2 linked regions of the Sus scrofa genome follow. The protein of the gene in region 1 interacts with the protein of each later gene in a biochemical or structural test. Links are inferred from orthologs where the notes say so. Each region holds a gene or a part of one and is shown on either strand. Other genes may lie near its edges.

Region 1 (4,293 bases):
ATCTCAGCCTGTCTTACCTGGTAGGTCCTGGGGCTGTCACCTTCCTGGGGGGCTGCAGATTGCTGCGGCCGACACTGGTGATGGGAGGATTTGGTCGCTGAGAAACAGGAACTTGATGGGGGTTAACAAAAGACATGAATTAGTAAAAGGTTCAAGTGACCTTCTCAGAGATACTGAATGAAGACAGAACAAGTCCAGGATTTAGCGCCCCTTCCCAGCTAAGGTAAAAAACCTAAGGCTCAAACTCTGCCCAGACCCGCATTTTCTCCTTAAGTCGGTCTCCTCATGGTCAAACAGAGCTGTGAGCAAGGTAGCGAAAGTCACTGTCACCAGCTCCGGGAGGGCGTGTTCAGGCTGGGCAAGGGTGGGTGTTCCTCCTCCTGATTTCTTACCCTCTGTCCACCCTTCCTCACCTTTGTGCCCTGTGGCACCTGGTCTTGGAAGTCCTTTCCGAGCTGACAGCGGGTCTGGGGGAAGGGCACCTTTGCTGGATGGTACAGTCCGGCCAGTGAGCGGCATCTTGCTGGCGGGCCGAGGAATGGCCGATGGAACCGGTAGTCGACTGGAAGGTTTAGCCGTGGCTCCCTGTGGCCGAGATGGGCGCTGAGAATTGCTGGTAGAAGGCTGTGGGGTTAGGACTGGTCTGACGGGGGTCGGGGGGCCTGGTGGAGAGGAGGTGAGGAATTTTAGGGTTAGCTCCACATCCTCCCTCCTCCCACACACCCATGGCTTTGCTGCCAAGGTCTTCTCACTTGCTACTGCTCTCCCACTGGGCCCAGCTTTCCCCCGGACTGGAGGAGTTGATCGGGCAAGAGGAGAAGACGCTGGGCTTTTGGATGCAGGGAACAGACTGCAAGTGGGCGACTCCTGAAACACAAAGAGAGGGAGGAAAAAAGGCACTAGGATGCAAAGAGAATCGGTTCTGCTGGTTGATTAAGGGATCGAGGTGGAGAGTCACCTAGATCCCAATAAGGAAGAGCAGTTAGCTGCCAACACCGTCATCATCGCCTCCGATGTCATTTATCGAGAGCTTATTAGAGACGTTATAGAGCTTTGCAGACGCTGTGCTGCGCTTTGCTCATGGTACCCCGTTTAATTCCAACAATTTAATGAGGTAGAATGTGACTTCCATTTCACTGACAAGAAAACTGCTCTACACCTGTACTGAGTCATGAACAGTGCCAGGGGCACACATCAACCCAAACTCTCTAAACTCACCCTCTTCACGCTGGGGGGCCTCTTTCCAGATGTCGTCCGAAGAGCCCTGACTGACCCCTTCCTGTCACTGCTGCGGAGGCGGGGTGTCAGGCTGCTGGGGGAGGGAGTGCTCCGAGCCAGAGAGCTGACCGTGGGCAGCAGGTCTCGGACAGGACTGTCCTTGAGCACAAAGGTCTCCCGCCGAGGGCTGGGCTTCACTCTTCGAGGCACTGGGCCCTCGCCCGTGTTCTCTCGCTCCTGCAGGGCACACTGCTCCAGCTGAGCTGCTAACCGATTGGCCTCATCGAGGATTTCTTCCAGCTTCTCTGGGCTGAGGGGGCCTAAGCTGAGCCTCAGACCCTGGGGGGCGGGGACCACAGCATTCGGGTCACTTCGATGAGAGAGGCCTCGTCGGACAGGTTTCTCTGGAGTCGCCAACACTGCTATATCTTCTTCCTCTCGACTGACGCAGAAAACAAACCGAACACCATGCCCACACGTTAGAGAGAAGGAGACTGGGCAAAGCCCCCACGTCTGAGCCAGAGCCACAACCCCAACCCTGATGTCCCTGCTGGCTGTGAGATCTACCTGATGAGACACCTGGTTCTATGAGGCCTTCAGCATTTTCTGACATTGGAAATTATGTCAGGATGAAGATGCGGCAAATCTACTTACCCTTCTACTTAACACCCTGCAATCTCATTCCAGCTTATCCCTTCTCCCCTCCCCCAGTCGTGTCACAAGGGGCCCAAGTCAACCAGCTACCCAGAATCCTCAGTGCACCCAATCTTGCTAAATTCCCAATCCAGACCCGAGGCCAGTAAAAGTTAAAGACAAGCATTGTGGAAGCAAAGTAAGTAGGATAAAGAGTCTACTACCTGTCAGATGGTGACAGCCCCCCAAAGTCCAAGGTCTCATCCACTATAAACTTTACATCTGTAGGGGAGGAAAGAAGAAATACAGCCTTGGGTCCCAAACACGGCTCTCAATCACAGGGCCTCATTCTTCCCTCCAGGGTTTCCTTACCTTCTTCTAAACCTTCCATGTTCCAGAGAAGCAAGAATCAGCTTAGACTTGAGCTGGAGAGAAAAATACCTCCCCTCAGGTCTCCATTCTGCCCAAGGCCTCCCAGCTAGGCCCAGCTAGGCTGCAAGGGGTCGTGCTTGGAGGTGAAGCAAGCATCCCGAGAGCAGCACTTGCTCCAGTAAACCACCCCTGTTATCTCCGGGACAGGTCCAGACACGTACCTCCACACTCCAATGTCCCTGCGCACGGCGGCCCCCGCCCCCTGCGACCCGACCTCTCCTCGCAGGGCGGTCTACGCCCCCCCATCTCCCTCTCCGCGACCATTCTCTGGTTCTTCCTCTCTCCAAGCCACCTTTCTACTCCCCGCGGCACCACATCCCTTCCACGCCGGCAGCCCACCCTATTTCTACTTTCCGTTCCGCCTCACCTCCTGCGGAAGGTGCTTTCCTTCCACAACCTAGTCCCGGGAATCAGCTCCGAGGGGGCGGGGCTCCTTTCGAATCTCTCAGGCCCCACCCTCTCCTACCATGCGCACTCATGATTGGTGGCGGCCAGCATCTCCCGCCCTCGTGGGGCGGGGCGGCGGAGGGGGCCGCCGGCCGGAAGTCTGCAGGTGGGAACCAGGCGAAGAGCCGTTCCAAGAAAGGCTCCATCCGGAGAGCTAAAGCCGGGAGGCCTGGAGCAGGGAGGCCGCGAGCGCGCGCGCGCGCGAGCGGGGAAGACCTCTCAGGGCTACCCTCCGGGAGCGGGGCCTGCGAGGGGCGGGACCTCGCGGCGGCGCGCGAGGGAACGGACCAATGAGTGAGAGCCTCGCTCCCGGCCGGCCCCCCCCCCTTCTCCGCCCCCTCCTCGTGCTGGGCGGGGCTGGGTTCTGACGCCCCTCACGGCCGTCGGCCCCAAAGCTAACGCTCTGCCTGAGGAAGTTCGTCCGGGGGCTCTTTTCGGAAGCGCCGTGGTAGCCAGGGCCCTCAGTTGTGATTTTTTCCAAGTTTACGGAAGCAACCAAACTTTATACCTTAGGTATACTGAGGTTCTCTAAGAAGTACATCTTCCATCGACTTTTTAGGCAAGAACTTTAGGAACCTGTGGCATCTTGAGGTATGAAGAAAACAGGCTTTTCAGACAGGGAAGTTTGGCTTCAGATGCAACCGTGGCTCCTCTGTTGACAAGTATATGGAGCATATTTGACCTGGCAGCGTTTATATTTGACCCCTCGCTTATCTAGGAGGATCGTGGCCGTCACAGTAGGACATGGTTAGGAGGATAATTATGAACACACCATGTTTTATACCTTGTGCCTCGGAGGCTTTTGAGGGTAGTGTTGGTGACTTGCTTCCTCTAAATTAAAAGCTGTGTTTGTAAAAAAGCTTAGGCCTCCTTATTAGGGATTTTCTTTGTTGTTTCCAAGGGTTGCCTGTGAATAGACTGGGCTACCAGTTAACTGAGCTTCTTAGAAAGGTTCTAAACATTTTAAGTTAAAAGGCCCTGGAAGAGTGGTTGAAGAGCTTTCTCGAAAACAAAGAGCCTGAGCTTTTAGTCTCCAGAGTTTATGACCATTATAGGCTTTCTGTTTACCTCTTAGTTTTTAGTTGTCAAGTTCAGGTGGTGAGGTTTGCAGGAGTGAGGTGTTACTGTGAGAAATGCCACAGGAAGCAGAGCAGCCTTGGAATTTAGTGGCTTGATAAGGGAAAGGGTGGGGAGGCTGAGAAGTTGCAAGTTGATGTGAGGAAGAGCTCAGAGAAGAGGCTTGCCTCTTTTTCCATAGGTTTTCTGCTGAAGGTGGAATTTTAATTGCTTGTAGGGCTCAGATTGTTTGGAGGTGGGAAAACCTGTGCCAGTAGCTCCCCTTCTCTCCTGGCAGGTAGTGGCAGGTGGAGATCAGAGGGAAAGAAACTCTTAATTAACTGCATTCCTTTTTCCCCTAGGAGCAGCGAGCCGGAGTAGGGAAATCCTTCACCCACCTTCAGGTAAGTGGAGGAGACAGTTTTAGCAAACAAAAGTTTCTCTCTCCTAAGGAAATTCATCTCTAATTTTTTTTTTTTTTTTTTTTTGGTCTTTTTGCTATTTCTT
Region 2 (4,529 bases), on another chromosome or scaffold:
TAAGTATTGGCCATAACATACTCAAAATACATCATTTCAACCAAAACTGGTGATTCTCCCAATGCGATTATAAACCTTACTTGGTTACCAAATAAATCAGGTGTTTTCTGATTTTTTTTTCTTTCAAAACCATGTGACTGATAATAGAATTACCACAAAGTTAGCTACCAGACTGAAAAAGATTAACTAACTGGCCATGTTGGTAAGAAAGTACTCATATATTTTAAACATTTGACATAATCTAGACCAAATACTCTCAATCATGCTAATATTAGGAGCAGATGTGGACAATTTACATACATTCCCTACTCTCAGAAAAACCATTAAAAGCTGAGAGGGTCAATGAAATACATTTAAGCAATGAAAATGAACTGATTGGAAACCAGAGGGAAGCAGTGTTTTCTCAGCACAGATGATAACACCTCTCAGAAAATGAAAACATGCTAAAGTTCAACTTAAAGCAGAAAAATATTTAACTGAAAAGACCTGAATAGAAAATACATAATTCCTTTTTACTTTAAAAACATACTTCCAGTATTTCAGCATTTTTTAAAAAGTTCCAAAGTAATCATTAGGCATTTCTCTGGTGATTCATATATTTCAATAATAAAAATCGCCTTCTGCCTAGCATTTACTGAAATGAAGTGGACCCTACATACACATGCAAAGGGTGCCCTAAATGTTCACCAGGAAACAGTCCTTGGTAGATTCTGATTCTAAATCCCATTTGGTAGCAGACACCCTCCTTTTGCTGTCCATTGCTGGGTTTCAAGAAGATACAAACCCTCAGGGCCCCTTAAAAGTATCTTTAGCTGTACCTTGACAATTAGAAGAATCAGGAAAGACATTAATTTCTTTTACTAGAAGGCAGAAAGTCCACCTGAACAGAGTAAGGCAAAGATTTCCTAACTTCTGCTATTTTAAGTACTTCTTTGTACCTAAAATTCCCTAAACAATCTGAGACATTAAAATAACTCTGAGATTAACAAGTCACTTTATACTCCTGTTATTGGATGCTAGAGAAGTTATTCACTTGGCTAATTTCTGAATTAACTCCTACATAATTTCCCTGATTATACCCCCTCTTCAGGATTTACATGAATGTCCTAAACTTACCTTTAGCTCATTTTCAAAGACAGCAACAAAATACAGCAGCAGAAATCTGATCACATGAATTAGATGCCTACATTTCAATCTAACCAATTCTCTGTAAGGATTTTGAAATGAGAAATCTTATGAAGAGTGCAAAAATAAAACCCTAGATTCTAAATACACCAAAACAGTCTTTGGTTTTTAAATTCCTGAGTGTCAAATGATTAACAAGATACTGCATAAAGTTTTATAAGTTCTAGGAAACCCAAAATATAACAAATACGGTTGATCTTTTTATAAGAATTTCAGAGCCCATCCACATCTGTCACAAGAAATACACAAAAGAGTTAATTATACATAAGTGCTTCAGAAGGGAGTATTGCTTTCGTACTATTCATACTACTTAGGTACACAGATTCATTTTTTCTAGAAAAAAAATTGGCATTATTTTCTGAAACTCTTAAGTTTCAAGTTATTACTGTATCTTCCTCTACCTAAACCTTCACCAGTTAGATAACTCAAAAGACTTTCTGGTAGAGGTAGAGAAAAGGTTATAGGAAAGTATACAGGGAAAGCAGAAAATTGTAGTTTAATTAAAAAGCAGAGTCATTCAGAATTAACAAGCAATTAACCAGGAATTGAGGAATTCCTATGAGAGTAAGAGGGGCAGGGAAACCACAAAAAGGTCTCAAAGTCTCTGAGCAGGGTACACGGTTCAGTGTACCGAAAGAAAATGCAAAACACGAAAACACTGTGCAGAGCAAAAGGGATAAAATACGTTCCTGGGAAAAAGAAGTTATTAAAATGTTAAAGATCAGGGCATAGGCAGTGTTTCTGGTTTTGCCTGGAAACTGGGGGCCAGGAAAGGGTTGCATTCCCAGGTAACCATCCCGAAAATAAAGCACTGCTTAATGAGGTAGGGGCCAAGAATAAACAATGGGGGAGGGGAGGAGTGGCTTATTACCTTTATGGAGGATGCTGGTCAGAGGCTCTCTGCTGCTTCTCTGGTGGTAGACCCTTCCTGCCCTCTCGCCTCCTCAAGCCAGCTCAAACCTGGAGATCAGAAAGCAGAAAGCTGTGCAGAGCCCCGGGGCGAGGAGGAGGGGGATCTGAGGAGGGGAGAGCAGAGGAAGAGAGTGGTAAAGGCAGGCAGGAAGAAGCAGGGATTCTCCTCCCTCCCAGGCCAGCCCCCTTCCCCTCCGGGAGGTAACTGACTTTACCTGTCTCCTCAGCTGCTGCTTCTCTTCCTCCTTTCAGCCTCCTCCACACTCACCAACTTCTCCATTGAAGAAACAGCCCAGGCAGGGCCGGACGCGGCTGTTCCTGGTCCTCCTCGGTGCCTCACGGCCCCAGTCCGGCCAGCATCCACACAGCCGAGCCGACCTGAGGCGGCGGTGCTGGCCGCCGGGCAGCCTCGGGGCAGGGGTGCAGGGAGGAAGTCCCGGCTCGGGTGGGGGGGCAGTCCCGGTCTGAAGGCTCAGAGCAGGGGGCTGCCGCGCTCCGGGCCGGAGGCTCCCAGCCACTGGGGGCACAGGAGGTCTCGGGGCAGCGAGGTCCCGGGTCATACAGGGTCCCAAGTGCCAGCCGCGGGGGCTCCAGGCAGGGGGCTTTCGGGATGCACTTTGCACTGGGCCACCCCCGCCCCCTCCCTCCAGCACTTTGGGGTCACTGGGATGGGACCAAGCCTTCAGCAGCCAATCAGCGGCCGCACTGGAGCCTGAGCCCGGAGCCGTAAACCAGGTCCGGAGTGGGTGGGGGTGGGGGGTGGGGACAACTTGGTTGGTTGGTTGCTTCCTTCTCTCCTCCTACCCCCAGCAGCCCCCACCCCTTGCCTGCCGTAAAGCCGCCTGCGCATTCGCGACAGTTAGGGGAGGCGTGCCGATTGGGGCTAGGACTCCTCTCGGATTGGCCTCACTCACTTCCCCTTCTGAGGCTTCCAATGCTCCGCCCCTGGCGGAGGGACTCCAGGCGGTTGCTAAGAAACGCGGTGCGCCGCACAGGGCCTCTGCGCATGCGGGAGAAGGCAACGCCGGGTTCTCTCCGCGAACTACGGTGGCCCGGAAGGGGCCGGTGCTCACGCGAATGGCGGTGCGGAGTCAGGGTGGCTCGAGCTGGTTCCCTGCAGGTAATTGGCAGCGGCCGCTAACTTTGGCGGCGCGGGAGGCGTGTGTGCGACCTACTGAGAGGCTGTCTCTGGGCTTAGGCTTAGGCTTAGAAAGGCGGCAGTCTCCAGGAGGCGAGGAGAGGGGAGCCTTGTCCCACCGCCCTCTTCAGCGCTTCTCAGACGCGGGTGCCGGGCCTTGGCAGGTCTTTCGGCCCCCGGGGCTCCGTTAGTTCCCAGGATGGCGTTCCTCGCCTGGCGAAGAAAGAGAGTCCTGTGGGCTGGCGGTGTCGCTTCAAGGGTTTGCCTGGAAGGGTGAAGTCCCTCAGGAATTCCTGTGGCTGAAAGGGAGAGAGGGGAAAATACGGGAGATGGCCATGTTTATTAAGTGCTTCTTTTCATTGAGCAGGTATTTACCGACCGGGCACTGTTGTAGCCGTTAGGGAGACCTCGGTGAACGAGGTAGATGCAATCACTCATCATCGTGGAGTTTTCACTTTACCAAGGGAGACTGACAAACACGAAACTATTTATCAGGTAGAGATAGGCTATGTAAAGGGAAGCGGAATGGGGTGGAGATTGGCTAAGATGTGATGGCTGTTTTGATAATAAAGGTCCCTGAGAATGTGGCATTTGAATAGTGATCTGAATGAGGAGATGCCAGCCATGCCAAGATCCGGGGTCGGGTGGGTTGGGGAGGATTTTGCAGGCGGAGACATCAAAAGTGCAAAACCTCTGATGCTAGAATAACTTTTGCTGTGGACAGAAACTGCAAGAAAGAGAACCAGGTAGTCCAGCATCATAGGAGGGATAATGGTTTGTGGTGAAGTTGGGGTTGATGGTGAAGCGGCGCGACAGTCTCCAGATCTTGTAGGACCTTGTAGCGGGTGGTAAGGTGGTAGAAAAATGATCATAACTCTATGTTTTGAAAAGATCACTGGCTGCTGGAGAAAGCTGTAGCTGAGAGTGGGGTTATAGAAAGACTGTTGTGATAGTCCAGGCAAGAGTTGACTTTGTTTTAAACTAAGTCACCCAATTCACCAGACCTTTGGCTACCATCAGTGTCCTCAAAGAAAGGCCTAATTATATAAAGGAGGTACTATTTCAACATATCAACTCCTTTTATGTAACTAAAATATACTAAGATGTTTTGTGGCAGGTGGCGGGGGAAGTCACTGAAAACACTTTAAAAAGGGCCCTGGTATTTTCTTTTTCATTATCATTCATTCATTATCATTCATTCACCAAGAACTCTCATTTTGGTGTCTTCTACATGAGCTGCCTGTTGGCTTAGGTGGGCAACCCCGGCTCAGTCCTGCCCAGGGAAGATCATAGT

The links.
Region 2: of the proteins of PSRC1 (region 1) and ASB7, one has a biochemical effect on the other in vitro, tested with the Homo sapiens proteins (2 studies listed by BioGRID, with this or other methods). The link is inferred for Sus scrofa from reciprocal best matches to the Homo sapiens genes PSRC1 and ASB7.

The regions. Positions count from the first base shown.
Region 1 is NC_010446.5:110,812,013-110,816,305, reverse strand, and holds the start of PSRC1 (proline/serine-rich coiled-coil protein 1), read right to left. Parts: upstream 2,995-4,293; 5' UTR 2,651-2,994; intron 2,645-2,650; exon of another isoform or gene 2,445-2,644; intron 2,277-2,444; 5' UTR 2,243-2,276; coding exon 2,224-2,242; intron 2,134-2,223; coding exon 2,076-2,133; intron 1,661-2,075; coding exon 1,219-1,660; intron 868-1,218; coding exon 753-867; coding exon of another isoform or gene 724-752; intron 663-723; coding exon 414-662; intron 112-413; coding exon 18-111; coding exon of another isoform or gene 14-17; intron 1-13. UniProt on the Homo sapiens protein: Required for normal progression through mitosis. Required for normal congress of chromosomes at the metaphase plate, and for normal rate of chromosomal segregation during anaphase. Plays a role in the regulation of mitotic spindle dynamics.
Region 2 is NC_010443.5:139,189,782-139,194,310, reverse strand, and holds the start of ASB7 (ankyrin repeat and SOCS box protein 7), read right to left. Parts: upstream 2,905-4,529; 5' UTR 2,313-2,904; intron 2,202-2,312; exon of another isoform or gene 2,146-2,201; 5' UTR 2,057-2,145; intron 1-2,056. UniProt on the Homo sapiens protein: Probable substrate-recognition component of a SCF-like ECS (Elongin-Cullin-SOCS-box protein) E3 ubiquitin-protein ligase complex which mediates the ubiquitination and subsequent proteasomal degradation of target proteins.